4 linked regions of the Pelodiscus sinensis genome follow. The protein of the gene in region 4 purifies or fractionates together with the protein of the main gene of each other region. This does not show direct contact. Links are inferred from orthologs where the notes say so. Each region holds a gene or a part of one and is shown on either strand. Other genes may lie near its edges.

The links.
Region 1: the proteins of DCAF7 (region 4) and SOWAHC purify together in Homo sapiens (affinity purification with mass spectrometry; 4 studies listed by BioGRID and IntAct, counting the BioPlex papers as one, with this or other methods). This does not show direct contact. The link is inferred for Pelodiscus sinensis from reciprocal best matches to the Homo sapiens genes DCAF7 and SOWAHC.
Region 2: the proteins of DCAF7 (region 4) and TROAP purify together in Homo sapiens (affinity purification with mass spectrometry; 3 studies listed by BioGRID and IntAct, counting the BioPlex papers as one, with this or other methods). This does not show direct contact. The link is inferred for Pelodiscus sinensis from reciprocal best matches to the Homo sapiens genes DCAF7 and TROAP.
Region 3: the proteins of DCAF7 (region 4) and ZNF503 purify together in Homo sapiens (affinity purification with mass spectrometry; 4 studies listed by BioGRID and IntAct, counting the BioPlex papers as one, with this or other methods). This does not show direct contact. The link is inferred for Pelodiscus sinensis from reciprocal best matches to the Homo sapiens genes DCAF7 and ZNF503.

The regions. Positions count from the first base shown.
Region 1 is NC_134711.1:236,120,150-236,127,827, reverse strand, and holds SOWAHC (ankyrin repeat domain-containing protein SOWAHC), read right to left. Parts: upstream 2,828-7,678; 5' UTR 2,588-2,827; coding exon 866-2,587; 3' UTR 512-865; downstream 1-511. Other genes in the region: SEPTIN10 (septin-10), read left to right, coding at 3,038-3,067.
Region 2 is NC_134729.1:4,785,623-4,793,230, reverse strand, and holds the start of TROAP (tastin), read left to right. Parts: upstream 1-4,594; 5' UTR 4,595-4,716; intron 4,717-5,829; 5' UTR 5,830-5,880; coding exon 5,881-6,111; intron 6,112-7,608. Other genes in the region: PRPH (peripherin), read left to right, coding at 71-196, 461-681, 844-893, 1,246-1,325, 1,766-1,813. UniProt on the Homo sapiens protein: Could be involved with bystin and trophinin in a cell adhesion molecule complex that mediates an initial attachment of the blastocyst to uterine epithelial cells at the time of the embryo implantation.
Region 3 is NC_134718.1:8,579,452-8,587,278, reverse strand, and holds the start of ZNF503 (zinc finger protein 503), read left to right. Parts: upstream 1-4,812; 5' UTR 4,813-5,179; coding exon 5,180-5,482; intron 5,483-6,351; coding exon 6,352-7,827. UniProt on the Homo sapiens protein: May function as a transcriptional repressor.
Region 4 is NC_134739.1:6,486,823-6,494,308, forward strand, and holds the start of DCAF7 (DDB1- and CUL4-associated factor 7), read left to right. Parts: upstream 1-4,471; 5' UTR 4,472-4,721; coding exon 4,722-4,859; intron 4,860-7,486. UniProt on the Homo sapiens protein: Involved in craniofacial development. Acts upstream of the EDN1 pathway and is required for formation of the upper jaw equivalent, the palatoquadrate. The activity required for EDN1 pathway function differs between the first and second arches.

The sequences.
Region 1 (7,678 bases), on a different chromosome or scaffold from region 4:
ACTTACATCATGCTTAACTATATCCGTTGTAAGACATCCCATTGACTTGAGAATTTGAATTCTATGATTTGAATAGGTAAAGTTAAGATTGATCTTAAGTCTGAGGATTAGAGCCCAAATATCTACAAAAAATCCTGACAGTCAGCAGAGCACTTTTGACCTTTTGTACCTAATGCTACTTTGTCACGTAGTATTGCCTTTTGGAAAAAAAATACTTTAAAAATACATGAACGTATTCAAGAAATCCTGAAATAGCTGTCCATGAAGAGCAGTATGTAGTACTGGTTGATAATCTAGTATCAAAATGTAAAGTTTTAGATTCTCTCCCCAGCTGTCCATGAAGAGCAGTATGTAGTACTGGTTGATAATCTAGTATCAAAATGTAAAGTTTTAGATTCTCTCCCCACCCTTGTTTCCCTCCATCACACTTTAAAAACCAAAATAAGAGTGTACTAGGTTTCCAGACCCTGATGTCTAGCTTCTTAAAAAAAAAAAAAAAAAAAAAAAAAAAAAAAAAAAGGAGGCCCACCAATTTTACATACTCACTTCTTTACAGACCTACTACCCCATCTGTACTTGCAAGGAAACAGCTCTTAAGTATGGGAAGCCTCCATTGCTTGGCTTGAAGCAGCTATTTCCTGGAAATTGCTAAATCCCAAGAGCCCTGCAGATGTTTACTGTACACTTAATGAAATTCAGAAGTTAAACAAGATATTTAGCTTTATCTCCTGAGGAATGCATAAGTCTGGATGAGGGGCTGCCGTTCACATAGGCTTGCATGCACCTCCCCTTTTCTGTACTACATGCTCAATGGGTTCAGGAGCATGTTACACCCCTAATTAGGTGCCCTGCCTGTCTCCCCACTTTATCCAAAGACATTGGATTTGGGTCTGAGTTTGAAGGATGTTTTCAGTGACTTGTCCTCCTGCTCTTCTTCCTCAGTCTCCGCACGGAGAGAGGGGGTGGTGTGAATGATCTGGGTGCGGAATCGGATTTTGTTAAGCCGAGGTTTCATCCTACCACTATTCGAGGCTTTCCTGCTCATCTCCTTACCCTTGCCAAAGGCCGCTGCCCCCTCACCCAACTCAGTCTCCTCACCAGGCCCATGGAGGTGGTGGGAGAGTTTGTAGGCAATGAGGTTGGAGGGGAGCACCTTGGAGAGTCTCCAGCGGCCACTCCCATTATTCGTGGCACCTTCACCCCCCTCTTGGAGGGCTCCCACCAGGCTCCGCATCTCTTCCGTGGTGCTTTGGCTCAGGTACTGGGAGGCCTTTCGCCCACTGTAGTCCCTCACATCCACATCTGCATCATAGGCCCCCACAAGCAGCTTGACCACTTCCAGATGGCCATGCATGGCGGCTAGATGTAGTGCTGTGTACCCGCCACTGGTGCGGGCATTGATATTGATGGGCAGCTGGTGCTTGTGAGCAAAGTTGACAAGCATGGCAAGCAGCTCCTGGCGCCCATGCTTGGCAGCCCAGTGCAGGCAAGTGAAACCCGTGATGAAGTCCCTCTTGGAGAGCAACCCTGGTTCGCAGCTGAGCAGTCCCTCCAGGCTCTCCCACCTGCCATCTGCAGCCGACAGCATCCAGGCGTGCTCCAGGGGATCCAGCGCCACCGAGCTGCCCCCGCCGCTCTCCTCCTCAGCAGAGGAAGAGGCCAGCGAGGCGCTGTCCGAGTCCCCGCCGCGGGCTCTGGGGGCCCCGGGGAAGAAGCTGCGTTTCAGCTGGGGGGAGCTACCCATCATCAACTCGCGGAAGTTCTTGCGGCTGGACCTGGGCGTTGCGCCTCCGCCCGAGCTGCCCGGGGAGCCGGAACCGGCCTCGACTCCCTCCTCTTCAGCAAGCCGGGCCGGGGGCGCCGCCTCCTCTCCGCCGCGCCCGGGCTGCAGCCCCCGGGGCACGTTGCGCCGCGAGCTCCTCTTCCTGGCGCCGCCCGGGGGCACCTGGCCCAGCCGAGGCAAGTCGCTCCTACTCCCCGACTGGGGGGGCGGCGGCGGCGGCGGGCGGCGGGGGCCTGTCCCCTGGAGCTCCCCATCCTCCGGGCCCGGCTCTCCCGGGGCAGCGGGCGCGATCTCCTCCGACTGGCTCCCCCCGGCGCAAGGCGCGGAGTCCCGGCTCCGCGGTGCCGAGTCCACCGCCGCCGCCTCCTCCGGGGTCACCGAGATGCTGGGCAGCGGCCCCGGCGCCGCCGGGAGATGGAGCGGGGCGGCGTCCGCGATGCTGGGCAGCGGCTCGGGCCCGGGCGCCGCGGGAGGCTCGAGGGGAGCGGCGGCCTCGCTGCCGCCGGGCCGGGGGGGCTGGTGGCCGGGCGGCGGCTCCGGTCTGTCCGCATCGGGCACCCCGGCGGGCCGGTAGCGCCGCCGCAGCTGCACGTACTTGGCGCCGGAGCCGGGATCCAGGCGCACGGTGGCCACGGCGTTGACCAGCTCCTTGAAGCGCTGGCGGGCCCGGGCGCGGCGCTCGGGCTCCGGGGGGCTCAGCCAGCCCCGGAAATGCTCCAGCAGCTCCGCGTTGGGCGCCCGCCCGCCCCGCGCCGCCAGGAACCGCAGCACCGACTCCGGGCTCAGCCCCGGCTCCTCGGCCATCGCGCCCGGCGGCGCTCAGCGCAGCCCCATCGCCGCGGCGGCTCCGGGCGCTCCCCCGCCCCCCCCGCGCTACTGAGGCAGCATCTCCCGGCGTTAGCGCCGCGCGGCGGCTCAATCAGGGCGGCGGCGGCGCGCGGCCCATCCTACAGGCGGCTGGGAGGGGGGGGGGGGGCAGCGACCGTCAGCTGCCCGCTCACGTCACGTCCGAACCTGCCGCGTGCCGCGCTCACTCCCGGGCCTGGGTGCGAAGCGATGCCATCGCGCTGCGGGGAAGGGAGAAGACGCCCCCGCGAGACCCCGCCCCTCGGCGCCGCGCCCCTCCCCACCCGTGTGCCTGGCCCCGCCCCCCTCCCTGGCGGCCCCGCCCCGCTCGCGGACCCTCTGGCTGCCAGTTACATTCCAACCGCCCGGCGCTTCCCGCGCGGCGCCTCCCTCCCCGGCCCCCGCGTCATGGCTTCCTCCGAGGTCGCTCGGCAGCTGGTGAGTCCCGCCCGGGAAACTTTTTCTCGCCTCTCTCCCCCTCCGACCGCTCCCTAGAAACTTCCTCTGCCGGCGGGCCGCGCAGACCCCGGGGCGCAGCGCCTCGCGCGGGCGGGAGAGACGCGACGGCCCCGGCCGCTCCCTCCGTCCCGCCCGCCGCAGCCCCCTGCTCCCAGCCCGCTCGGGAAAGGCCCCCGAGGCAGCCTGGGGTGTGGCGGGCGCGCCCCTGCCCCGAGGCTGTGGGTGGCAGTGCGGGGGGGGGGGGAGATATCAGCCTCTTGCCGTCTGTGGTGGGTTTCAAACCGGGTCTCCAAGCCCCGTCCCCGCAGCTGGGGGAGGGGGAGGGGGCGACTCTCCTATTCAAATCAGTGTTTTGGTTTCAAAAGTCTGGGAATAGTCTACCCGGGGCTGTGACCTCAGCCGTGTCAGTCCAGTTATGAGCTAATCAGAGGATGGCAGCATTCATTGTCATGAACTGATTCATTCGCTTAACTGGGATTCCTTCCTTTTCCTTTCCCCTTAACTCCGTTCGTCTGAAGAAGTGGGCTGTGCCCACGAAAACTCATGATTTCATCCACATTTTTGTTAGTCTCTAAGGTGCGGCAAGACTATTAGTTATTTTTTATCCTTTTCCTGTGTCTCTACATTGAGGTGGGAGCTTTAAAGTAGTCATTAGCAAGTAGAGATGAGAAAACAAAATCTTATCACCATTGATTGGAATAAAACCAGGAGTTTGATTTTTTTAACTATATTTGCAACAAGGAGTCCTGTGGCACCTTAAAGACTAGTAGGTCTGTAAGATGCCACAGGACTCCTCTGTTGTTTTTGCACATAGAAAATAACACAGTTACTTTCTGAGACTTATGCTTAAGTTATAGCATCTTTCAATAGTAACTGCTTTTGCATTTGTCCATGTGATATGGAGACTGCTCACAGTAGGGTAATACTATGAGTATTTGTTAAAATATTTAATTACTTCAAAAGTATTCAAGTGGCCATATTGAATATTGTCAATTTGGGAACCATCCAGACATAGGAACCAATCTCATGTAATTCAGATTACTGATCATACATCATAAAAATCCAGTTATGGATAGCAATAATCTAATGGTTATGAACTGTAGCTCACCAACAGTGCACAGATATGTTTGAATAAAAAATTACTTTAATAACTTCTGATAAACACATTTGTTAATTTACCCCCAGTTTATAAAGGTATGAACAGAAATAGGGTATTGTGCCCTAATCCTGTACTGAACCCAGTGTAGAAGGCCCATATGCCTGCTTTCAGTTTGCAACTGTCAACTTTCTAAAATTATTACTTGAAGATCCAATTCTGAGGCTTTGTCTTGATCAGAATGTCAGTGAGGTACTGCATTTTTTTTAATCTAACAGTTTTGCTTATGTTTTTGCATACTTCAAGGAAAATGATGCCCCTCATCCTGGCAAATCCTATCAACTTTCCACTTTTTCCTTGTTCTTCAGATACATAGTTCCAATGCAAACCTTGGCCTGAATTAATTCTTATTTTTGATGTAGTGAATAATTTGATTAGTTTATGACATAAAGACAAATATTCTGTGCTGTTCCATCTCTGGTGTTGCTTTGTTCAGGTTGTACCTCCCTTAACTGGACTTCCTGGTCCAGCAACGTTCCTCAACTACAGAGCTCAGGAACAGGGAGTTCTGACGGTGGAACAGGAGTGCCCTAGGGGACACCGGCAACTCAGCCAGGAGCCCAGAGTCGGGCGGTGTGGGAGTGGGGGAGAATAGGCAGCACAACGTGAGTTCTGGCCCCAGCAGCGGTTGTGGAGATCTGGTCCTGGTTGTGGAGATCTGGTCCCAGCTGTGGACCTTTGGCTCCAATGGCCGGGGAGCTCTGGCCCCAGTTACAGAGCTCCAGCTGTGGTACTCCAGTCCCAGCAGCAGTGGTGTTGGTGTCATTTAGAGAGCCCTGGGGGGCCGAGGCAGCTGTCGCCCTAATCCAGACGCAGCATGGGCCAGGAGGGGAGGCATCTCCCCTGGTCTGGCAAATCTCCTCATTCTGGACCAGTCAGGTCTAGGGTTGTGAACAGTTAAGCAATTAGGGCTGGAGTTGCTCCCTACCCACTGGGGGAAAGGAGCTGCTCCAGCCCTGCAGCGCCCACAAGAGTAGCACTTGTCTGCAGTGGTGGGAGGGGAGCGCTCCAGCTCGGACACTGCTTCCCCGCTCACTTCCTTTTAATTGGTTAACTGACTAAACGTAAATGTTTAACTAGTTAACCAATTAAACAGGATTTTACATCCTTAGTCAGGTCCCGAGGGTGCAGGATCAACAAGATCCAACCTGTACAAAAGTGACCTCAATAACCAGCTGGGGATTTGTCTTGTGTAGGGGAATCCCTGAGTGGAGTTTAGTTGTCATTTGTGCTTTCTTGTCACATGAGGTATTTTGAAAGGTGTGTTGCAAAAGTGCTGGACACTGATGATCCTTGATTGTTGGATAGTCTCTGGGGCCATTGAAGTGACATAAGTTAGAGCAGCCTTTGGAGAATTGTATCCTGATTAGTCCTAGTGAGAGAAGTGCAAAGTCTCTTTTTCTTCACTTTCCAGACTTGCCCCTAGATCCAGTGCTGAACACTGATTCATTTTTCAAAAAGAAGTAACCAGTAGTGGGCAGCCTGCTAGCTGCATGCAGCTCACTGGGGCTCCAGCTGCAGCTCGTGGACCCCTTGGCTGCTCCCCTTTTCCACACCCCTTCTGCTCACGTGGCACTGGATCCCCAAACTTCCTCTCCTCCTTCCTCATTCCCAGCACTTTCAGAGGAGAGACTCTATCTTGCTCCTCCCCTTCCCTCCCAGGGCTGGAATGCTGCAAATCAGCTGTTCGTGGTGTTCCAGCTCTGGGAGGGAATGGGAGGAGTGGGGTCAGAGTGGAAATCAGGCAATGTGCAGGCTCTGAAAGTGTTGGGAAGGAGGGGAAGGAGCAGATAAGTGCTGGGCTCTGGTGCCTTGGTGTGCGAGAAGCGTGTGGGGAAAAGGGGGTAGGTGAGGTGCCATTGGGCCACAGGTGGAACCCTAGTGGGCCATGGTCTGCTGCCATCCACTGAGATAAAGGAAAGCTACTCATGTATTCCTGGTTGCCCATCCCTAGAAGTAACCCATTGCATTCCATTTTGTAAATATTTAATTATGCTTTAAATAAGATTTGTAGCCTTTATATCATTTAGTACAATTTATTAGCTTTATATTGTATTCTGTATAAAGCATTCTGTATATAAAGAATTGTAGAGGAAGTAATGTAAACTTGAGGACCAAAACTTCACAGACTGGACTCATAACTCTTACATAAATAGAACGGAAAAACTTCTAAAAATTAGCATAAAAGAAGAGTTGAAATTTAAAAGGTAAATATGCCACAGAGTAGTTTTGCGGGTTAACTATGTAAGAGGAGATCTGAAAAAAGCATGATCAGCAAAAATTAAATGTGAGGGGGATTTAGAGTTCATCAGTAGGTTTACAGATTTAGAGAAGCAAGACAATCCTAGATAGGACAGGACAAACAAACAACATTACACTGGAAAATAGCAGGGAGTGGAGCATTGAGAGAGGCCACATTCATGGGTAGAATTGGATTGTAGATATTATAGGTGGAGGGATGTGGAGAAAAATGTTCTAATTTCTCAAATTAACAAATAGTAGAGTTAAAGTGCTCTAGACTTACCCCATTTTTATTGGATGGGGCTGGCATTCAATCTTCACAGAAGACCACGCACGAAATCTCCAGGATAATTTAATACAGCTTCAGCAAAGGAATTATATAAATTACAAATATATAATATGAATAGAAATTAAGACTTTTTGATGGAAGCGTTTAAAGTACTGTAGCTATTCCCGAAAGAAAACAAACTAGAATAACTGAATATGAACAACACCTCCAGCAGGAATTGCTACAGTTCTTCCTTAGAATAGAAACTTGTCTTCTGTGCTGTTCAGGATAGTGGAAAAGCTTGTTCTTTAGAAGTTATTAGGATTTGAATGATACTTCGTAGTTAATTTATTAGTTTGAATATTAGGTTTTAGTTTGGTTGTAAGTATAACATACATTTTAAATAGCTGCAGTCCTGCCCCTTTCTATAAATACATGTGTGATATAGTTGAATGGTAACTAAAAACTGATGTCTTGGTAGTTCAAATATTAACATTTTGTTCAGAAAAGATATTTGCTCAACATCAGGGTTGGCTCGAGCCATTTGCGCCCCGGGCAGCGGGCGCACGACATATGTGCAGCCCCTGGGCGCGTGGAGCCTGATGGCAGCTGTAAGGGGCGCTGCGCGGCCAGCCGCACGGCGCCCTTACAGCTGCCATCAGGCACCCCCTTAGGTTGGTGCCCTGGGCAGGTGCCCGGCTAGCCCCCCCCCCCTTAATCCAGCCCTGCTCAACATAAAAATGACCATGCTGGGTCAGACCAAAGTTCCATTTGCCCCAGTATCCTGTCTTCTGATAGTGGCCAATGCTAGGTACCCCAGAGGGAATGAACAGAACACACAATCATGACGTGATCTATTCCTTGTTGCTCATTCCCAGCGTCTGGCAAAAATAAGCTAGGGACACCATTCCTGCCCATTCTGCTA
Region 2 (7,608 bases), on a different chromosome or scaffold from region 4:
CTGCACCTCGCTGGGGTAGCATTTGCGGGGTGCTAACACCAGCCTCTCTGCTGACCCCCTCTCCCTGCAGTTCGCTGACCTGTCGGATGCAGCCAACCGGAACCACGAGGCCCTGCGCCAGGCCAAGCAGGAGATGAACGAGTCACGGAGGCAGATCAATAGCCTGACCTGCGAGGTGGACGGGCTGAGGGGAACCGTGAGTATCATTCTCCGGGGGGAGGGGGGGAGCACCCCAGCCCTGCTCCTGGGGCAGAGTGCTCCCTAGTGAAGCACCCACCGTTGTTCCCTGCAAGCAGTTACATTGCCAGGGCCTGAGCAGGGACTCGCAGCCGAGCCGGCCTCGTGCGGCACAGCTCCCCATGGTGGGGAGCAGCTGGACCAGCATGGGTGGTAGGGGGAGCAGGGAGAGACCAGCCCCCTTTGGAGCCAGTCTGACACCTGCCCTCCCTGCTGTGGCCAGAACGAGGCGCTGCTGCGCCAGATGCGGGAGCTGGAGGACCAGTATGGGGTGGAGCTCGGCAGCTACCAGGACACGGTGGGGCGGCTGGAGCAGGAGATCCGGCACATGAAGGAGGAGATGGCGCGGCACCTGCGCGAGTACCAGGACCTGCTCAATGTCAAGATGGCGCTGGACATCGAGATTGCCACGTACCGCAAGCTGCTGGAGGGCGAGGAGAGCCGGTGGGTGCAGCGCTGGGGGCACAGCTCTCCCAGCATCTGTTGCGAGAGGGTGGGGCTGTTCCCGCCCCCCCTCCCGCCCCCCCTCCCATCCCCCCGGGGAGGGCTGGGGAGTGGAGGATAAGCAGGGTCCTACCACTCACTGTACTTTTTGACCCTCCCTAGGATCTCGATCCCCATCCACTCGCTGGCCTCCTACAGTGTGAAAACTTCAGGTAAGTGCGTGCCAGATATGGAGGGGGGGATCCCCCTGTGGGTACCTTCCCCAGGAGTCTCACCCCTCCCCGGTCAGTTGTCGTGGGCTCCCCACATCTCTCCCTAGGTACCTGGGGAGTTGCTGGCCTCTGCCATTGTGTGGGGTTGGCCTGGGAACTGACGGGTTGCGGCAGATCCATATGGCCAGCAGTACAGCCCATTGGGGGATCTTCCCTGGGGGACCCCTGCTGTGACCAGAGTCTATTGTCCTGGGGCACACCCACCCCAGGGCATGGAGGCCTCACCTGGGGATTGGGGGTTCAGTGGCTGCAGCCACTTCCCTTCTCATGGCCTTCCTGTACCCCCTGCTAGCACCTGAGCCGGAGCAGACTGTGGAGAGCCACACCAGGAAAACCGTTCTGATCAAAACCATTGAGACCCGGGATGGAGAGGTGAGTTTCCTCCCTGCCCCCCCTTGGGACATGGGGGTGAGGAGAAGAGAAGAACAGGGAGTAGTCAGCCTGGAGTGTGCCAAGCCTAGGGTAGCGGGGGCTTGGGGGAGAAGCTCAGGGCATGCCTAGGCCTGTGAAGGTTCCCGGGGCGTCCAGCTGTCATTCAGACCCAGCATTACAGGAGCATGCAGAGAAAGTGATGTCTAGCAGTTGGCGCTGGGAGGCAGGACTCCTGGGTTCCGTACAAAGCTATGGGGGAACATGGGTTAGTGGCTAGAGCGGGGTTCTGCTCCTACCCCTGCCCCTCTGTGCTGGGCAGCAGGCTCAGGGGCTTGTGGGCAGGCCTCCAAGATCCTCCATGGCAGGGAATGTAGCCAGGCATGGGCTGAATGGGATCTAACCGTGGGCTCTCTGTTCCATCCTGCCCCCCGCCCCGCTAGGTAGTGACTGAGTCAAGTACGGAGCAGAGCACTGATGTGGAGAAGTGATCCTGGTGCTGGGCCGCTGCCCTGGACCGAGGCGACAGTGTGAAACTGACTTGTAGAAGCCACTGCGAGACCCCTGCTGCACCTGCCCTCCCCCCAGCCACACTGGCCTTATTACTACAGATACCTCTGACAGCTCTGCTGCACTGCCCCGTGCCTCCAGCCCGCCTACCCTCGTGGTGTGCCCAGAGCACCGAGAGCACAGCAATACCCACTCACAGCCCAGGGCAAGGAGGAGAGGGGCCCTGCCTCCAGCTCTCCCCATCCCTCTGCCCTCTCACTGCATGCTGTTTCCCCGATCTCTCCCCCATCCTGTGCTTTTGGCTCTGGGCTGGTTTTTCCTTCCCTGCTCTACCGTTGGGCGTGACTGACCTTCCCAGACTACGTGTACTGAGCCACAGGGCTGTGGTTAAACAGAGTAGGATCCTACACCCCCTCCAGCTACAGCCTAGGCCATGCGCTGCCTATACAGATCCCAAGACCACTCCCACGTCCCTAGAGCAACTGCTGTGAGCATTCCGCAGAACCGGTCCTCCTCCGTCCCATCATGTTTCCAGCCCCAAGGCAGAGGCTGCCTGAGTTTGGTACCAAAGAGGAGTCTGCTCCTGAATTGGACTCCACAGAGGAGTTGTCCTCGTTCCACTACCAAAGCAGGATGCTGGCCCCTGGCAGCTGTGCCTCGGGCTGCTGCCCAGCAGTGCTCCTAGTAGCAGAGATGCCTGTTGGAGTGGTGATACCAAGATCTGACTGCAATTCTGTGTTGGCTGGTCTCCAGCCCAAACACAGCCGGGCCCCCTGATTCCCAAAGCTCTGTTTTAGTACAGAAGAAACGAATTGCAGGGACTGCTCAGCAGGGCTGGATTCCTACCCCTGGCACTTGCAGCCTGGATTCCTGCTCCCTGGGTACAATCCCAGTATGCCTGGCAGATGGGGAAGCTGTTCCTAGTCCCAGTGCTGCTGTCTCTAGTGTTAATTCTCCTGGATGCTGCAGCATATCCTGTTCTGGCATTGCCTAGAGCTGCCATCAGCTCTAGACAACAGGGCTGAGTGAGCCTGGGGATGAAGGGGGTGAGTAATACCTAGGCCCAGTTGCTGAGGGTGAAGGCCCTTGTGCCCAGGGTACTAGTCTAATAGTGACAGCCCAGTCCTGTCCTGGAGTGTCTCTCCCTAAGGAGGCCTGCTGTGGTGCTGAGTCTCCATTCTCATTTTGATAGGGATCCCCGCCTGTCCATTAGCACTTGTGTTGCTTTGATTTTTGGACACATGCTTAGTTGTCAGGGCCTGAGAGGGAAAGAGTTTCTTCTGGGGCCTTTCAACCCTGGCTCCACTGCTGGAACAGATGTGTGGAATGATGTTTCCTGCTGCTATCCCAGCTCAGGGGAGAGTCCTGAGCCCCATACTGGCTGCTGATACTCAGCCCTGCTTCTAAGCAGGCAAGTCCTAAAAGACTGTGCTCCACTATCATTCCCACATTTCTGTCCTCTGGCCGCCTTCCCTCCACGCAGTGCCTCTGACTTTCAGACCCACTTTCCTTGCCTTAGCTCTGCCTTCGTTAACCAGGGGGCTGCGATAGGATCTCTCACCCTGCTGGACCAAGACACACGGGAGGCTGTGAGCATAGTTGCTTTGGTGCTCCTGGGTCTTCCCTGATCTGCCTGAATGGTGACACTGGCCCAGTGCTCGGCCATGGTGTTGAATGTGTCCTGTCCTGCTTTTCCAGCCACTAAAGGTCATAGCGAGGAATGTGCGTGTCTGCTTCTCATCTATGCCTCCTTATCCCACCGTCTGAGATCTCCACCTTCCAGTGGCTGAGTGTGGTGGGAGGGCAGGGGAAGAGACCTCAAATTCGACCCTCATTGGCAGTGCCAACCAGAGGGCTGAGCTGTCGGCTCTTAGCCTTAGTGGACAAGGGGGGCTATCCAAATTAACCTCACTCTGCTTGGACCTAGCAAACCTCCCACTGGGAGGCGGCCAGCCGCCCTGCTTGTCCCTTCGAAAAGGTGCTGGGGGTAATGGGTGAGGGGGAGCTTGTCCAGGCTGTGCCTGTAAGGGTGGGAAGAGGTTGGCTTCAGACTAGGCCCCCCAAACTGCTGCCTACATGCGCACGAGTGCCTGTTTGCCCCTTCCGCTCTGCTCTCGTCCTGGGCCAGCTCCCCACTTCCGGGGAGGAAGGCGTCCAGGCGGGTGGAGCTGTAACCCTGCAGCCCAGGGAGGCGGGAACACAGGGAGTTGTGGACACAGCAGCGCCGTGGGGCTGAGTAAAGTGATGCCTGGGTGGCAAGACCTTGGACCACGGCATGACGTGGCACCGTGGCACGTGGCTGCTGTCTGACGTGGCACCGTGGCACGTGGCTGCTGTCTGACGTGGTACCCTAGGGGGAGCCCTCGCAGGGGGGGGCACCTGTGGCTGACTCCAGCTGGTGAGGGGGGGGCATGATCCAGGGCCCTCAGGGGAGGGGCTGAATTTCCCCAGCTTAGCTCCTGTCTTCAGCCCCCCCACCCTCGGAGGACTCCCCCCTCCCCCCCCCCAGCCCATGAGCCCACCGCTCTACCCATGCACGTCTCTATGGTCTAGCCTCACCCCCCCCCCCCATAACTCCCTTCAGCTCAGATCTCGCGAGACATCAACTTCAGCTGGGCGAGTGCGCCCCGCCTCCCCCGCGCCTGATAGGGCAACACGGGCGATGACAGGCAGCGGCTTTGGACAGCGCCGACCAATCCGTCCCCGCAGCTCCGGCTGTCGCCCGGGCCCCGCCTCCCTTGCTCCCGATTGGCTCTCTCTCCGCCGACTCCGCCTCCAGCTGGAGGAAGGTGGCCAATCAGCTCCCTTGGTGTTTTACAAACCGGCGGCGACCCGCAGAGCGGCTTTACCCGGCCCCGAGCGGAGCGGATGCGACTGAGCCCAGGTGGGGGCGGGCGAGCTTATGAATGGGGGAGCGCGAGGGTATCCGAGGGGTCCCTGGCTGGGGGGGGCCGGGGGGCGCAGAGGGGGTGCTCCTATGGGTGATGGGCTAGGATTTTGGGGGGGCTTGATGGGGTGCGCACCCCGGGGAGGGTGTGTGGGTGTAGGGGGGGCCCCGGGGGGTGCTCCTATGGGTGATGGGCTAGGATTTTGGGGGGATGGTGGGGCACGCACCCCGGGGAGGATGTGTGGGTGTAGGGGGGGACCCCGGGGGGGTGCTCCTATGGGTGATGGGCTAGGATTTGGGGGGGGCTTGATGGGGTGCGCACCCCGGGGAGGGTGTGTGGGTGTAGGGGGGGACCCCGGGGGGGTGCTCCTATGGGTGATGGGCTAGGATTTGGGGGGGGCTTGATGGGGTGCGCACCCCGGGGAGGATGTGTGGGTGTAGGGGAGGCTCCGGGGGGGGGTGCTCCTATGGGTGATGGGCTAGGATTTTGGGGGGATGGTGGGGCACGCACCCCGGGGAGGATGTGTGGGTGTTGGTGAGTCTGTAGGGGTTGGGGGGCCCCTGTGGGGCGGGGTGCTGCTGAGCTCCCTGACAGCCCTGGGGTTGGGTGTGTCTCCAGGCTGTGGCTCATCAGGTGGGTCCCTGGGGCCCAGTGGAGGGGGGGGGTGCTGAAAAGGCTGTGGGCAGTCATGGGCAGTACAGAGCGGGCTGGGGGGCGGCGGAGATCGCGAGGGGGTGCAGACTCCAGGACCTTGTTGGCCTTGCTCCTTGGGGAGTGGGGGAGTCTCCCCTAGGGGCTGTGGCGTTAAATGCCAGGGAGAGAGCCAGGGACTGATGCCGAACCTTCACTACTGTCGCTCCCTGGCTGGCCCAGCGATCCGGGCTCTGTGCTGCAGTGTTAAATGCAGGCTCCTTGCTTTGGGCTGTAGCCAGTCCCCCAGCCAGCTCCGGAGGGACTCCGCGCTGGTTATTGCTGCCAGCCTAGCTCTAGCCACGGGGCCTGACTTGAAGAACCTGCGAAGGGGTCTCCTCTGGCCTGGTGGGGAGGTGGTGATGCACTCTGGTTGCATTGCAAGGCCGTTCATCTCCTGGGAGCATCTCTTTCTCCAGGTGCAAATGCCAGGAAAGGTGCTGCAGTGCTGAGTGGTGCAGCTGTCAGAAATGGCGCAGATTGGGAAGGGTCCAGAAGCGGTTTCCTTTGCCCGCCCACCACGGGGCAAGTGGACAGGCAGCTGTTCCCCCGCCAGGAGCGGACCACAGCCAGGGAAGGAGAATGAACCATCTGCCTGGGATGGGTCAGGTGCACAGAGCTGCAGCAAGATCCCTGTCCTAGCCAAAAGCCGCCTGCCCCCAGACTTCCAGCAACTGCACCAGACCTGGGAGAGCCAGAAGGTGAATGGCGGGTGAGGGGGAAGGTTTGGAGCCCTACCGTAGACCAGCCGCAGAGCATAAGTTGTTGGCTCTCCCTATGCTTGGGGGATAGCATCAAGGGAAAACACCTAGGCTGTGTCTACACTGGGACACTTATTCCGGAAAAGCAGCCGCTTTTCCGGAATAAGCTGCGAGCTGTCTATACTGGCCCCTTGAATTTCCAGAAAAGCAGTGACGATTTACTGTAAGAAATCAGCTGCTTTTCCGGAAAAACTATGCTGCTCCCGCTCGGGCAAAAGTCCTTTTTCCGGTAGACAGCACAGTAGTCTTTTCCGCAAAAAAGCCCCAATCGCGAAAATGACGATCGGGGCTTTTTTCCAGAAAAGCGCGTCTACATTGGCCACGGATGCTTTTCCGGAAAAAGGGCTTTTCCGGAAAAGCATCCTGCCAATGTAGACGCTCTTTTTCCGGAAATACTTATAATGGAAAACTGTTCCGTTTTAAGCATTTCCGGAAAAAGGTGCCAGTGTAGACACAGACTTAGGGCGTGGTTGAGATACCGCAGGGGCCTCTCCGCCAGGCTGGCAAATGAGGATCTAGGCTTCAGGCACACTTATCCTGCTTGGGGGTGGGAGCTGGTACCCTCTTCTCTCTTGCAACATGCTGGCTTCCCAAACCGGGTTCTGGTGCCTCCTTACCACCACTGAGTCACAGACCCCCTCTTAACTGGGGCAGACCAAACTCTGGTGCCAGGGAAGGGCAGAGTGAAGTGTTAACTGTCCAGCACATTAGCTGTTGATCAGAGCTTAAAATGCCCCTTGGGGCACTTGTTAGCAGAGAATCCAACTGGTGCACCTGAGTCTGGCTGGTCCTGTGTTCTTTGTGATGTCCCCTCTTTGGATCATTGTGTTTTGGCTGTGATCCTCTGGCAGAGATGAGACCAATCAGCTTTCAGGGTGTTCCAAGCCCCTCCTCTTCTCCCTCTTGCTGGGGTGCTGGGCTCCATGGCACAAAATAGCCCACATTTGTTGTGCTGCAGCTTTGAGTGATTTTTTCCCTGTTGCCCTGACAGCCTCAGGGCTATGGATGGTCTGGTGGAGTGCTCCGAGTGTCAGAGAGATGGGTCTACAATCTGTGTTGAAATGAACAGGGTGTTGTGTGGAGAGGAGGGAGGGAGGCAAACCCCTGGGGTCTGTACTTGGCTTTAGGACAGAGAGCGTGGTGTTCAGGGCAGGCACTGGGAATCCGGCCTCCTGGGTTCCATTCCCACCTCAGTGACTCTGTGATGTCAGGCAAGTTGCTTCCTTTCTAAGTGCCTCAGTTTCCCCCTTCCCCATAGGGATGTGCCTCTTCCTACTTATGCTTGTGGCAGCAGGTAAAGCCCAGGCCGGCTCGCCACACTGCCAAGAACGGGCCACCACATCCAAGCTGGTGGCTGCCGGGCAGTGAAAGGCTCCAGCAGCTCCTCTGCGCATGTGGGAGGCACCACTTGGGTGGGTAGAGCCATGTAGGGGACGT
Region 3 (7,827 bases), on a different chromosome or scaffold from region 4:
TCTCCTAGCATACTAACGGGGAAGGGGCCTGACAACTCACTGTAGGAAACATTTTAGGAACATGCATGTTATCCAAAACAATGGCAAACATGTACATTCCTGCTAGTTGGTTCAACAGATCACTGACAATTGAAGCGCATATTAGGTTAAACACGACTATTATCTTGCAGATGGCTCAAAAATGACCACTATTCATAAGAACATATAATTGTATTTCCTGCAGAAGAGGCAAAGAATGCATTCAGATAGGTCTTGCTTATATATTTTAAGAAGGCACTTACCACCCTGATATTACATATTTTTGTAGAATTAGCCAATACAAACAGAGGCTAGGTTTAGAAATCTAATCCGCGGCTGGCAAGCATTCAAAATATGTTCTTTTATTAACACGGGCAGCATTGAAAATAATTGCCCCCCCCCCCATCCTCTCCTCCGCCCTACGGCGGGGTACCGGTGCAGATAGATCAATTTCAGTGTGAACACATCCCCCAGTCTCTTATTTAAAAAAAAAAGTTTTTCTTTCTCCAAAAATGCACACGCAGTATTTCTGATGGACCGTATTTCTTAGTCATCGTGTTTGCAGTCAAACAAATCCGCAAAAATGCCTCCCTTACGACTATTTGTGGCAAGGCAAATCTTTTTAGAACTCCCTTGCGTGGGTGAAGGGAGGCAAAATACAAATTAAGCCGTGAAAGAGACAAATAGGGGAAATATATTCGAGTCGGCCACACAAACCAGTCAACTCACTTTTTGGGGGAGGGAGGTCTCACTAAAAAAGCAAAGAACTGTGGGTGTTTTTTTAAAAAATAATTAGAGGCCTGGTGAGTGCTGGTTGTCCAGTTTAAAAGACCAAACGTCCTTTCGCAACACGAGCTACACACTGTGGCACTGAAATGCCAAGAGAAAGAGCCAGATTCCCAAGCAGGCAATGTGATGCGGTGATTTTTTTGCTCCGGCCTTTCCCGAGGGGAAAGAGTCCGGGATTTTTGGATGATCCTGACCAGGGTTTGCAGCTCACCAGCCTGACCTGTCAAGCGGATTATTTTAGAGGGAGATTAATAGGGGAGGCGGGCTGCAATAATAATCGTTTTGTTTGATGTGACAACTTTGATAGGCGTTGATTTACTTACAAACTGATAGGCTTTTAATTGAGCGCCTCCATCCAGCTTGAGATGAAAGGCAAACCGCATTGAAAAGCTGCCCGAGTGCCCGCGAGCCTCAATACTGATTAGCCATCTCGACAGTGAATAGTTCAAGGCATTTTCAAACTTTTCTCTCGCTCCCTTCTCCTCCTCAAATATCTTGCCAGCCCACTCCCTTTTAAGAGAAAATAAATCATTCCCATTGTGTGCAAATAAAATCGACTTGACATCCTTGCCAATCGCTGGTAGGTAAAGGAAAGTGGGGATCGGCGCGCGTTAATTAATTCTCTCCTTGCTCCAGATCTTAGTTTTGTTTTGAAGTGGAGCTTTATAACAAATCCACCACCATTTCAACCCGTAAATGCCAAACGGAAACCCGGCTTCATAGGATCATTAAACACGGAGCCCAGGCAGAGAGAGCGAGGCAGGGTAGAAACTATCTTTCCTGATGCATTAAAACAAACAAGAACGCCACGCCAAAAGCAGGCACGATTCTCATACATTTGCGCGTCTAAGAACGCTCCTAGAACGCTCATCTTTTAACTGTGCGCCGTGCGTTCTGAGCAGCGTAAATGGTTCATCAAGGCTAGGAAAATGGTTCAGGAGGGTTCCCGAGATAGATTTTTTATAAGCTTCTACTTAAAAAAAAAAAAAAAGCACCGGAAACTTGCACGTGTAAATGTGATTTACACTGCGCATCAAAGGCACAGCGCTAAACGTGCTGTCTTCTGAAGTTGCTAATTAAACTACCTGCTGTAGCTTCTGTTTGAGATTAAGGGTTTTTTTCTCCCCCTCGCTTGTAAACTTTCCCCTCTTTCCGTGTCATCAATACGCCGCTTGTTTTACACATGTACCGGGTTATCACCTTTGATTCCTCGGTTTAAACGTTGTAAGAGGCCCCTCCCGGGCCTTCCTCTACCCCCCACCTCCGCCCCAAAAAGCCTTCCCACCACTGACTCTACCTTAAGACAATTAATCTTTAGTCTTTCACCCTGGGAGGCAGGACAAATACAACGAGAAAACAGATAGGAGTCTCTCTGGTCCTGTAAGGAAAACAGCTGTTCCAAGCACTTTAATGCAAATGAACACAAATGAAGGTTTCAGCTTTTTTTTTATTCCAGAGTTTTACTGCACGCCATTTATCAAATGGACTTGACAACAAAAGAAAGAACCGGGGGGAAAACCCGGGGCAGATTTAAGTCATTTCCACTCTACGTGGGGGGGGGAGGAGAGACCTTACAGTGAAGTTGTGAGTCTTGTGAGTCTTGCTGGAAGGTCAATTTCTGGGGCAAGTCTTCCTTCGCTTTGCCCTCCAGTTTTCGCCCTCGCATAAAATGACCCCGTTTATTTTAACATCTGCCCGGGGGGATGCACGAACAAATGGGCCCTTTCCCCCTTTCAACTCTTAGTATACACACACACACACACACACACACACACACACACACACACACACACACACACACACACACACACACACACACACCTCTCTATCTCCAAAGGACGGCTGGCTTTTCAACGGCAAAGCTGGCTTTTAACAGAGACCTGCCATATATTTCTGTGACTTCCGAATTGGAAAGGGACTGGTTTAAAGGGAAAAAGACCTGGGAGAAAATGCCAACTGTAGCTACTAATCTAAGAGCACGAACTGACACTATTCTGGGGAGCGGGGACTGGGTTTCAAACATCCAGCAGACGCAACCACGCACACAGCAGAGAGTTCTTTCCGGTTCCCCGTCCCTTTTCCAGGATCAGGCCCCGCTCTAGCTGGAGTCCAGGTCAGGAATTGGACGCGATCTCTCAAGCAGTTGGCTTGTCCTTCGCTTGTCAAACGCGTCGTATCTCCCGAAGTGCCTTTTTGTACATGTTGGAGATGGCGTGGGCCCCCATGTCAGATCCGGATACAAAAGTAAGACATTGATTAACACATTTTGCCTGTGCAAAAAAAAAAAAAAAAAAAAAATGAGTTGGAGGAAGAGGGTTGGAGACTGAGGAGAGAAGCTGAAGGATTTTTGTGGTGGTGTTTTTTAAAGCCAACCCAGAGCACCAAAAAGAAGGGCGAAGTCGAACCAAAACTCTGCTAGCCTATGACCTACCCCCGGGGGCATTTCTCCTGAACAAATAATGGTGACATCTTTAAAGAAGGGCTGAGGAGACAGGTGCGTGTGTGCATACCAGAAACTGTGTGCATACATGGGCGTGCTGCACACACAGGTAGGTGGGTCGGTCGGTCGGTAGATTCCAGGCAAACAGACACGTGGGCAGCTCCAGGTCCAGGTTAGCGGAGCTACAAATGGCGAGTCAAGAGGCTGCTATCTAAAGCGAAAACTCCGTAACTGGGGCCCCAGCCTGGCCGAGCCTGTAGTGACATTCCGCGGCAGCTCCACGTGTCAATCTTAATTCTCCTCTAAACATTCCGCCGTGCCAAGCGCTTGAATGACAGGCAGCCGGGGGGAAAAAAAGCCCAGCCGTGGGTAGGTCCGTCTTCTTCGCCCTACTCATCCCTCCGTCCTCTTCTCCCCCCCCCCCCCACTCCAACCACCCCATCCTCCTCCTCAGGAGCCCAAGAAGCTGTTTAATAACCCAGGCAGGCGACAAGGGGGCTTGCACACACACATACACACAAACATACACCCAGCAGAGCCACCCTCGTTAATTACAGCGGCTCCGCCAAGGTAGATACGGTGGCGTCTCGGAGAAGTCACTCTCCCTTTTGTGGGCATACAAATTGAGTTTACTCGGGGAACGATTTATTCCTTACATTGAATGGCTCTTTCTCAAAGAAGCCCGTCTCTCTCCTCCTTCGTTTTCCCCTCCTCTCCCCCCCCCCCCCCTTTCTTCCTTCAAGTCACACCAGGCTTGTAATCAGCAACAAAAGCTGACATAAATCAAGGGCGGATTGACAGGGGCTGACAAATAACTGATTGATTGCGGTTGGGGAGCATTGACAATTGATGGAGGGGCGGAGAGACCCAAAAAAGCGAGGGGAGGAGGGCGGCGGGTGCAGCCCTGGGAACATGTGACAGTCACATCCCCCAATCTCTGCCTTGGGTTCCCAGTGTCATCAAAGGCCTGATTGGAGCGCTTCCAGGGGGAGGGCGGACTCTACCAAGTTTCACGTCCAGAACCACTTTGCAAATATGAAGCAGTAGGGAGAAAAATTGCTGCCTACGCCGCCTTTTCCTCCAGGGCCAGGCAGGACATAACCCAACCCGCTCCGCACTAGTCCTCGGTTTACTGGGGCAAGATTACAAAACGTGCCAAGGCTGAAATCACCCTGGGGGAGGGGGGCATAAAGCAACAGCCGCAACATGACGGCCTGGGTGGCTGCAGGCTTAAGCGGAAAACGCTGTATCAGTGCACTCGCGAAAGGCGGTCAGAGCCTGTGCTGCGGCTCGTAAGGGCGAGCGCGTCTTAAATAGGCGCTGGCTTCGTCCTTGCTTTTTTTTGCACGTCCCGGTCGAAGGGGCTGCGGAGAGCGAGGAGCATGGGGATGTGAAACACAAAATTAACGCCCAGCCAGTCCTAGGAGCAAAAAACCAGAAGGGGAGGGGAGAGCCCATGAAAACCGTAGGGAAGGGGGAGGGGGGGAGGAAAAAAAAAAAACCAAGCGCCAGCCCGGGGAACGTCACATCCCCTTGACCCTCCAATCACCTCGGGGTCCCATTTGATTGGAAGGCGGCAAAGGCTTTAATCTCAGCCTAATTCCGCTGCTTTTGAAGTGAGTTGCTTTGCCAGAGCCGGGGCTGGACGCGCAGCGACAGCAGCACAGCTGAGCGGCGGCAGAGGAGGGCGGCGAACGCAGCAGCTGGGGAGCCAGCGAGACGCACGCACCCCCACCCCGGGATTATTGTGCTTCTCCCCCCCTTCTCGCCGGGTTCCCCCCGCCTCCGCCAGAGACGTTTTCTGCCTCGGTGTGTTGGGGCGAGTTTGCTGGTTGGGGGGCGTGTGTGGCTCCCCCCCCCCTTCCCAAAGAGAGAAGGTTTCCGAGGCTGCCCCGCGCGACTCGCCCCAGTTTTCATGCGAGGTTTTGGGTCATGATCACATCGCCCTCGCTTTCTGCGGTAAGAAGTAGGAAGCTCAGCGGCGGCAGCGGAGACTTTGGCGTCGGCGGAGGCAGCAGCAGCAGCGCCCCAGATCTCGCCTGGCCGAACCGGCACGCTGGGAATACTACGAGCTGCTCCAAGCCTTTCTTCCACCCCGTCCCGCCCTCGGACCCCTTGCGCCAAGCCAAGCGGCTGCCCATCAAAGTCCTGAAAATGCTCACGGCTCGGACGGGACACATTTTGCACCCCGAGTACCTGCAGCCTCTGCCTTCCACCCCCGTGAGCCCCATCGAGGTAAGGAGCCGCAGGCGATGCCTGATTCTCCCCCCCCCCCCCGCCCCCGACGACGGTCTCTCTCTCCCCACGGTCACTAAAGGGCAGTCTCCCCGGCCCTTCTGCTCAGTTCAAGGCGGATCCAGCCGGACCTCCCTCCCTGCTTTTTGGGCTGGGGGAGGGGCTGTCATTTTTTTCAGGGAAAGTTTGTGCGTTGCTTTACACCCCTATTTTTTTCGGGGGGCTTCAACTTGAGGGCTGGATTTAGGGCCCCCCAGGCGCGAAATAGGCTTGATTTGGGGAGGGGATGTGGGTGCGGCTGCTCCCAGCTTCCCATGATCTTAGCCTGACTTAGGATGACACCCCACTTGCGATGGGGTATGGGAGGGGGGGGTCCGAGTCCAGTTTCTCCGCCTTGGGATGTTTGTAGGGACTCCCACTCCGAAGGAGGGGTGGGCGAAGGGATGTTTTCCTGGGAAAGTCTGCTCCCTCGGGAAGCGCCGGACCTTCCCGCAGCCTGGCGCGCCCGCTGACTCCGGAGCGGCTGGGAAACAGCGCGGCCAGCTAGAAATGGTGCAGTCGCTCCCTTTCGGGGACGCGCGTGCGGTGGGGACGAGGCAGAGCCAAGCGGCCAGAGGAAAACCTGAACTTTGCAGAGCCCCCCGGTAGAAGACACCGTTGCCTTTTTAAACCATTGTGGAAAATGGTGCATGGGGGTGGTGGAGGGGGGGGGGGGGAGCTGTCAGGATGATGGATGCGCACAAAATCGTGGCCCCCTTTTCAGGCCGCCCTGTGCAGGACGAGTCGGCCGCGGCCGGCTCCCGTGTGTGCTGCGAGCCCCCCCGATGCTGACCCGTTTGCCTTTGTGTGTCCCTCTTGCTCCCCCGCAGCTGGACGCCAAGAAGAGCCCCCTGGCCCTGCTGGCGCAGACCTGCTCGCAGATCGGCAAGCCCGACCCCTCGCCCTCCTCCAAGCTCTCCTCGGTCACCGCCAGCGGCGCGTCGGGGGACAAGGAGGCCAAGGCGGGCCCCTTGAAGCTCAGCGACATCGGCGTGGAGGACAAGTCGAGCTTCAAGCCCTACTCCAAGCCGGGCGCCGAGAAGAAGGAGCCGGGCCCGGCGGGCGGCGCCGCCGGCGGGGGCGCGGGCGGGGAGAAGTCGGGATTCCGGGTGCCGAGCGCCACCTGCCAGCCGTTCACGCCCAGGACAGGCAGCCCCAGCTCCAGCGCCTCCGCCTGCTCGCCGGGGCTGCTGCCGGCCGAGGCCAAGGCGGCGGGGGAGGAGAAGAAGGACGCGGAGGGCTGCGGCAAGGCGGGCAGCGGCGGCGCGGACGGGGGGCCGGGCGGCGCCAGCCTGGGCCACAGCCGGATTAGCGTCAGCTGTGGCGGGATTAACGCGGAGGGCGGGCCGCACCCCGAGGGCGCGCCGGGCGCCAAGGCCGCGGACTCGGTCTCTTGCAGCAGCAGCGGCCCCGCCACCTCGTCCGCCTCGGTGCTGGGCTCCGGCCTGGTGGCCCCCGTGTCGCCCTACAAGCCGGGCCAGACGGTCTTCCCGCTGCCGCCGGCGGGCATGAGCTACCCGGGCGCGCTGGCGGGCGCCTACGCCGGCTACCCGCCGCAGTTCCTGCCGCACGGCGTGGCGCTGGACCCCACCAAGTCCGGCAGCCTGGTCGGGGCGCAGCTGGCCGCCGCCGGCAGCCTGGGCTGCAGCAAGCCGGCCGGCTCCAGCCCGCTGGCCGGCGCCTCGCCGCCCTCCGTCATGACGGCCAGCCTGTGCCGCGATCCCTACTGCCTGAGCTACCACTGCGCCAGCCACCTGGCCGGCGCCGCCAGCGCCTCCTGCGCCCACGACCCGGCGCTCAAGTCCGGCTACCCGCTGGTCTACCCCACGCACCCGCTGCACAGCGTCCACTCCTCGCTGGCCGGCGCCACCCCGCCCTCGCTGGCCGGCCACCCCCTCTACCCCTACGGCTTCATGCTCCCCAACGACCCCCAGCCCCACATCTGCAACTGGGTGTCGGCCAACGGACCCTGCGACAAGCGCTTTGCCACCTCCGAGGAGCTGCTGAGCCACTTGCGGACCCACACGGCCTTCCCGGGCACCGATAAACTCCTCTCCGGCTACCCCAGCTCCTCCTCGCTGGCCAGCGCCGCCGCCGCGGCCATGGCCTGCCACATGCACATCCCCACCAGCGGGGCGCCGGGCAGCCCCGGCACGCTGGCCCTCCGCAGCCCGCACCACGCCTTGGGACTCAGCAGCCGCTACCACCCTTACTCCAAGAGTCCTTTGCCCACCCCGGGCGCCCCAGTGCCCGTCCCCGCCGCCACGGGACCTTACTATTCCCCCTACGCACTGTACGGGCAGAGA
Region 4 (7,486 bases):
TTTCCGCAAAAAAGCCCCAATCGCCATTTTAGCCATCGGGGCTTTTTTGCGGAAAACAACACTGAGCTGTCTACACTGGCCCTCTTGCGCAAATGATTTGCGCAAGAGGGCTTTTGCCCGAACGGGAGCAGCATAGTATTTCCACAAGAACACTGACGATCTTACATGAGCTTGTCAGTGTTCTTGCGGAAATTCAAGCGGCCAGTGTAGACAGCTGGCAAGTTTTTCCGCAAAAGCAGATGATTTTGCGGAAAAACTTGCCAGTCTAGACACAGCTCATGCGTTTAGATAAGTGCCCAGCAGGGCAGTTTGTACCCCAGAATGAAGCACCGCCAAGTTCCTTGGGCCTTCCTCAAAGGAGGCTGGGCGCTGGCACGGACACGATGCTGGACCCGATTCCTCCGTTCCCTGGCATCGCTCGGGGACGAGAAGCATCTCGAGGATCCTGCCGTACACACCGGAAATCCTGCACAGGCCGCTCTGCCCCTGCCAGCGGCAGATCGCGCAGAGCTGAAATGAATTGTAGCCCCAGGCAGGGATGTTAGTGTGTAACCCACGAGCCAAGCTTAGCGGTTGATAGCCCTGGGGGGCAGCTGCGTGGCAGCAGGGCAGCGACGCCTCTTTCCCAGGCATGGTTCCAGGGAATGCTTCGCTGTGGGCTCTGCAGTCTCAGACTGATTTAGGCTTTGTGCGGCAGAGCCTGCAGCAGGTGACTGCTGAGATTTTCAGCAGCTGCAGTTACCCGTTGAACCCAGTGCCAACATCCACAGTGCCAGGAAAAAGGACTAGAGCCGGCGGACAAAAGGTGCCTGCCTAGAACAGAGGGATCTGTTCCAGGGATGGTTGTGGGATGCAGGCTACCAGATACAGACTGTAGGTCTCTGTAGCAGGGTCAGCTCCCTGGCGCAGCACCTCCTGCTGGGTCTCCTCAGGAATTAGCTCTTTCAGCCAGGAGCACCCCCTGTTGACTAGGGTCTTGCTCTCCGTTACCTGTCTTCTGTGCTGTTTCAGGCCCCATGTCCCTTCTGGCCCACAGTGTCCTTCCTCAAAGTACTACACCACAGCAGTGCCCCTGCACTCCGGGGTCCTCCCCGCTCAGGGGACCCCAATCCCCTGGACCCACCAGCCTTAGTGATCCACCAGCCCCTGCCTCAGGAGCAAACTGCAGTCTGAATCAGCCACTCATTATTGGTAAGGGAATGTGGACCTGCTGCCTTCTGCCCTGGCTGCTGCCCTAGTACCCCTCAGGCCCCTGTGTCAGGTCAGGGCTCCCCAGCTCTACCTGCCTTTCCCCAGCCCTGCTCTGTCTCAGGAAGCCTCTGTAGCCTCCCAAGCAGCCAGGTCCCCCCTAATCCATAGCTGTAGCAAGAGTATAGGCCTCTTTGCCCAGGCAGCCTTTTATAGGGCCCAGCCTGGCCGTAATCAGCTGACAGCTCCCTGCTCTAATAGGCCAAGGTTGCACACGCCTCCCCTGGCTTTCTGTAACCGTCTCTCTGCTGGAGTGGGCTGCAGCACCCCTATGGTCTCCCAGGGCCTCACCCTTGTGGATGTGTAGTGCCTGTGAATGGCTCCCATCTCTATTTAAGTGACATGCCCAAATCCGTCCTGCAGGGGCCACTGCAGAAACCCCTCAGGGAAGTCACTTCTGAGTCAGGAATGCTGCAAGAGTTTGTCCTGGTCACTTACCTCCATCTGTGCTTGTTTTCTTCTCTGCAAGATGAGCATAATGGTGCTTCCTGCACCTCGGCTGGTTGTGAGGATCATACTGGGCCAGGTGTGGCCAACCTGAGCCTGAGAAGGAGCCACAGTTTACCAAAGAGCTACAGTAATTTGTCAGCAGGCCCCATCAGGTGCCTCCTCTCCCATCTCCAGCATCTTTTGGCCCACCGATCAGTACCATCTCTTCCTGCCCCGTTCCTCCTGCAATCAGCTGTTTCATGACCCTCAGGAGGCTATGTGGGAGAGGCAAGGAACAAGGAGGAGGAGGTGGAGCCAGGAGTTGAGCAGTGGAAAGTTGGCACCTGTATCTGCAGCCCCAGAGTCAGTGCCTGAGCAAGGAGACACATATTAACTTTGCTATTTGAACCCAGGGGGCGCCCACCCACTTCTAAAAGCCCCTCCCCCAGCCTTGCAGGACGGACGACTGGAGCCAGGACTCAACTGATTCTGGGAGAAAAATGATGAAAAACAGGGTCAAGGGGTGCAGGTCAAAGGTTTAAAATGTGGGAAACAGATGGGAACACTGAGCAGAGAACCTTGGACAGCATCCACTGCTCCTCAAAGCTGTCCAGGGATCCAGTGGACACCACCCAGAAGAATTCTGACTAGAGGCATGAGACCAGGGAGGAATGGACGTAGGCCCCCCCAGTTGCAGTGCACCCCATCATCCAGCATCCTCCTCCTGGTATTGTACATGAGCTTTCGCCAGGGCCAGGAGGAGGCTGACGAGGAGGTCTTGCGACTTTGTGGGGCCACAGATGGGGTGTGCGTAAATAAAAAGGTAAGGGGGAAAGGAAAGGAGCCGGAATAGGGACTGCAACCTGGCACATTCCAGATATGCATGTGCCAGGTTTTCCCTTACGCCGCAGAAGGGCAGGCGTCTGGGATGGGGTGAACCATGCCAGGTACACACCTATGCTCACGGCTTGGTGAAGGAGCGGCCAACTGATGTCCCTGACGGGCTGTGGGATTAAGGTGGGATGAACACTGGCCCATTGGGGTTCCTTACCCTCAACTGATGTTGGATAGTCCCGCCTCTTGGTGCAGGACACAAGGGTGAGGAAATGCAACATGTGGAGCACGAGCCCGTACAGATTGTCTCTAGACGTGGTTCAAAAACAGATACCCTGTGTTTCTGCCTGGTTTTGAAAGAGGGAACTTTTGCGTCTTAAGCAAACATGATCACCACCACACTTCAGAAACCTCATTTGTTTTTCTATCCATTATGGGATGCACCCTTTGACTGTGCACAGTACGGCACTCTTTCCTGGGGTAGCCCAGCTGTGGCAGTCTGCCACACCAATTCTTTCAATGAACCTGCAAGGGCTGGCCTGGAGCATAATTTCCAAAAGAGCAGAGCATAGGGACTGCTTGCTTGGCCCTTATTTCAGGGCCCTAAACGGGAGGGCTACGTCTAGACTGGCATGATTTTCCACAAATGCTTTTAACGGAAAAGTTTTCCGTTAAAAGCATTTGCGGAAAAGAGCGTCTAGATTGGCATGGACGCTTTTCCGCAAAAGCACTTTTTGCGGAAAAGCGTCTGTGCCAATCTGGATGCGCTTTTGCACAAAAAAGCCCCGATGGCCATTTTCGCGATCGGGGCTTTTTTGCACAAATCTGAGCTAAAAGCAGGACAATGTAGCACTTTAAAGACTAACAAGATGGTTTATTAGATGATGAGCTTTCGTGGGCCAGACCCACTTCCTCAGATCAAATAGTGGAAGAAAGTAGTCACAACCATATATACCAAAGGATACAATTAAAAAAAATGAACAAATATGAAAAGGACAAATCACATTGCAGAACAGAAGGGTGATGCGGGGGGGGGGGGGGGAGGAAGGAAGGTAAGTGTCTGTGAATTGCTGATATTAAAGGTAGGGAGAGTGGGATGTTTGTGAGTTAATGGTATTACAGGTGATAATTGGGGAAACTGTCTTGGTAATGGGTGAGATAGTTCAAATTCTTGTTAAGTCCTTGTTGGCAAGTGTCGAATTTTAACATGAATGACAGTTCAGAGGATTCCCTTTCAAGTGCAGATGTAAAAGGTCTTTGTAGCAGAATGCAGGTGGCTAAGTCATTTAGAGAGTGTCCTTTCTGGTTAAATCTGAGCTGTCTACACTGGCCCTTTTGCGCAAAAGCTTTGCACAAAAGGGACTTTTACCCGCACGGGAGCAGCATAGTATTTCCACAAGAAGCACTGATTTCAGATAGCAGGAAGTCAGTGTTCTTGCGGAAATTCAAGCGGCCAGTGTAGACAGCTGGCAATCTTTTTAGGCAAAAAAAAAAATCTTTTTCCAGAAAAACTTACCAGCCTAAACACTGCCGAGCTGACCTGCTCAGGGTAGTTATACCCCACCCAGTTATAAGACCTGGGATTCGAACCTGTAACTCTACACAGCTCAAAGAGCTCTGTTAACCCCTACAGGGGCCCCAAGCCCCGCCCGCTGCCCACCAGCTCACCCCTTACTGACACCTTTGGCCAGCCAATAGAATGACAGGGTGCTAGAAGGTCCCGCCTCATGAAGGAGCGAAGCCACTGCGACCCGTCGCAGCCAATGAGCTGCTGAGAAAGAGCATCCCATCCGTCGGGGGCGGGATCGAGCGGAGGATTCTATTACGGCGGCGCGCTCCTCCTTAGAACGAGCGGCACAGGGGCCAATAAGAGGCAGGGACGGCTCTGACGGGCAGGTTCCTCACCCAGCGGCTGTCCGCGATGCCCTGAGTGGCGGCGGACTCAGCCAACGGACGCGGAGGAGGCGGGGCAGCCCGCGTGGTTTCCGCTCCCGTTGTGTGAGGGGGCCGAATCCCAAACGGTCTCCGCCGCGGCGAGCGCTGAGCGTCTCCGCCTTTCGGAGCCGGCCGCGGTCTCCCCCCGCAGCCCCGCTCGGCCCGTCGGTGCCCGGCTTCCGTAGGCCCCGCTCGGCCCGGGACAGCCCCTCCCCCCGCGCGTCTCACCCGGGCCCCCGGCCCCTCCCCCACCCCGGTAACCCGGCGGCCCCGCCATGTCGCTGCACGGGAAGCGGAAGGAGATCTACAAGTACGAGGCGCCATGGACCGTGTACGCCATGAACTGGAGCGTCCGGCCCGACAAGCGCTTTCGCCTGGCGCTCGGCAGCTTCGTGGAAGAGTATAACAACAAGGTGCGGGGGAGGGGCAGAGTTAAGGGTGAGGAGGGGGCGGGGTTACGGGTCACGGGGTAAGGTGGGGTTGTGGGGAAAAGGGGCAGAGTTAAGGGTAAGGAGAGGGCGGGGTTACCGGTCATGGGGTATAGTTAAAGGTAAGGTGGGGTTGTGGGAAAAGGGGCAGAGTTAAGGGTAAGGAGAGGGCGGGGTTACCGGTCATGGGGTAAGGTGGGGTTGTGGGGAAAAGGGGCAGAGTTAAGGGTAAGGAGAGGGCGGGGTTACCGGTCATGGGGTATAGTTAAAGGTAAGGTGGGGTTGTGGGAAAAGGGGCAGAGTTAAGGTTAAGGAGGGCCAAGAGGCAGAGTTAAGGGTAAGGAGAGGGTGGGGTTACAGGTCATGGGGTATAGTTAAAGGTAAGGTGGGGTTGTGGGAAAAGGGGCAGAGTTAAGGGTAAGGAGAGGGCGGGGTTACGGGTCACGGGGTATAGTTAAGGGTAAGGTGGGGTTGTGGGAAAAGGGGCAGAGTTAAGGGTAAGGAGAGCGGGGTTGTGAGCCAAGGGGTATAGTTAAGGGTAAGGCAGGAAGTGTGGGATCATGGGTTGGAGTTAAGGGTAAGGTGGCTGCCACACTCGGTAGGCCAGTCACGGAGTTCTTTGTGCGGCACTTCCAAGAGAGTGGTGGAAATGTGTCACTGCCTGTTGCTGCGAGCCCCCACCCCCTTCCTGGCCTTGTGCTCCTCGGAAAGCCCATAGGAGAGACTTTGCCACTGCCCCTTGTGCGTCTTCATCGCTGCGCAGGGCCTTGTATAGTTGCCCTGTGGGGCCAGTGAGTGTCCAGGCTTCTTTCTTTCTCCTAGGGGAGATGGCATAGGAGAGTGGTGTGGCTTATAACTTTGTGGAGAACCGTAACAAGATTGGGACAGTCCTGTGGCTGAGGTGGTGGCATCTTACACTGACTAAATTATTACCCACGCATCTAATGTGCTATCCAAATGTGATGTCTAGCTTTAATCAGCAGGCTGTTCGTGCCAGTTTCACACACATAGGAGATTTAAACAAGGAAATGCAATTGTAAAATGGCAAAAGTTAGCATCGGAACAAGGGAGAGTGGAGAGTCATAAGATAATTGTAACTAATTTTTAACAAATGAGTGGTTTTCCCATTGACAATCCTAGTGCCATTTGTGCCTCCAATATAAATCATCAACCGTGAAAGACCTCACACAAACTGGAGGAAATGAACTCTACAGAGTGCTGTTGAAAAAAGTGAATTTCAGTTATAATACTTAAAGATTTACCTCGTGTTGCTCGAGTCCTGAACTCAATTAACTTTTGGGTTTTGGAAAATATCATGCAACTGTCCATGTTTCATTTGAATCATTGCCTTGGGGTAGAGCTAGAAATGAGTGGTTGAATATGCAGGCTGCCCTGGGGAGAGAGGATCACTGTAGCAGCTTGAGGTCAGGTGAGAAGCAGCAATCCATGGCGGATACAGCTCTGGGGACACAGCTGAGGGAGGGTAGCATGTCCCCTGACTGGAGCAGGTGCAGATTTGTCTGTCCTCTGTGCTCTGCAGCCTGAGTGAGGAATGTAGCAAACACTGAATGTTCCACTGCATGAGGAAGGGGAACAGCCAGTAATGTTCCCTCACAAATTGGGGCAGTCCTGGGTGTGGGGAACCCTGTCAGCCCCTTGCCACATGCCTGGTGATTCTGTCTCTCTTCATGGTTGTATGAGGAGCAATCCTGTCCCAGGCCCAACCAGATTCTTACTGTGTTTTAAGTTATGGATAATAAGAGGAAGCTGTATCCCGAATGTGATGGTCCTAGCTCTTACTATTTAGGAGGGATTTCTTGAACAGATGCACACACAAAGACAAACTCTCAAATATAAAGTAGATTAGGTGATGTCAGAGCAGGTGGAAACTTGCAGAGAGAAATATATGTTTCCCTTTTAAGAGTGTAGTGTGGTGGTAGGATGGGAAATAAACTAAGTTTGGGGTTAATGGTCTTTTGGGGGGCCAGGCTTTTTGTCAGAGTGACAGATTAAAAAAGGAATGTAATGACAGTTTACTGCCATTAAAAACCTTCTCGCTTGCAATTTCCTCCAAAAATTCTCTTGACCTGAAACTTTCCGGCTTTATTTCTCTCTCTTACCTTCCCCCCCCCCCCAAAAAAAAGGGAGGGGGGGACTATTTATACTCTGCTAGATTGAGTTATTTGGGAGGAAAACACTGACTCTCTTTGGAAGCGCCTTGTAGTGAGTAATTCAAAAACATCTGAAGGTTAAAGTTTTATATGTCAGAAGGGAAACACACTCTGAAAAATGCAGTGACAGTCAGCATTTTTCCACGGTACAGAGAGGCTAAAAGAACAATGGGTATCATAATAAAATCCAAAACATTTGATTAAAAAAGTGGCTGCATCCCATAGCTATCTGCATCCTGTCAGGTTACAATCTATTCAAAACATGATGCTCTAGCACTGTGTATGCAAAGCACCTAAAATAACAAATTTGAGGTGAGGTTGATTAGTAGAGCATGGGTAAGGTTCTGTGGTGTGACTCCTGACTGTTAACAGACTCTGCAGCTTATGTGGAGGGGATTGGAGGAGACAGTGCTCTACATCTGGGTAGTGTTTTGAAACGGC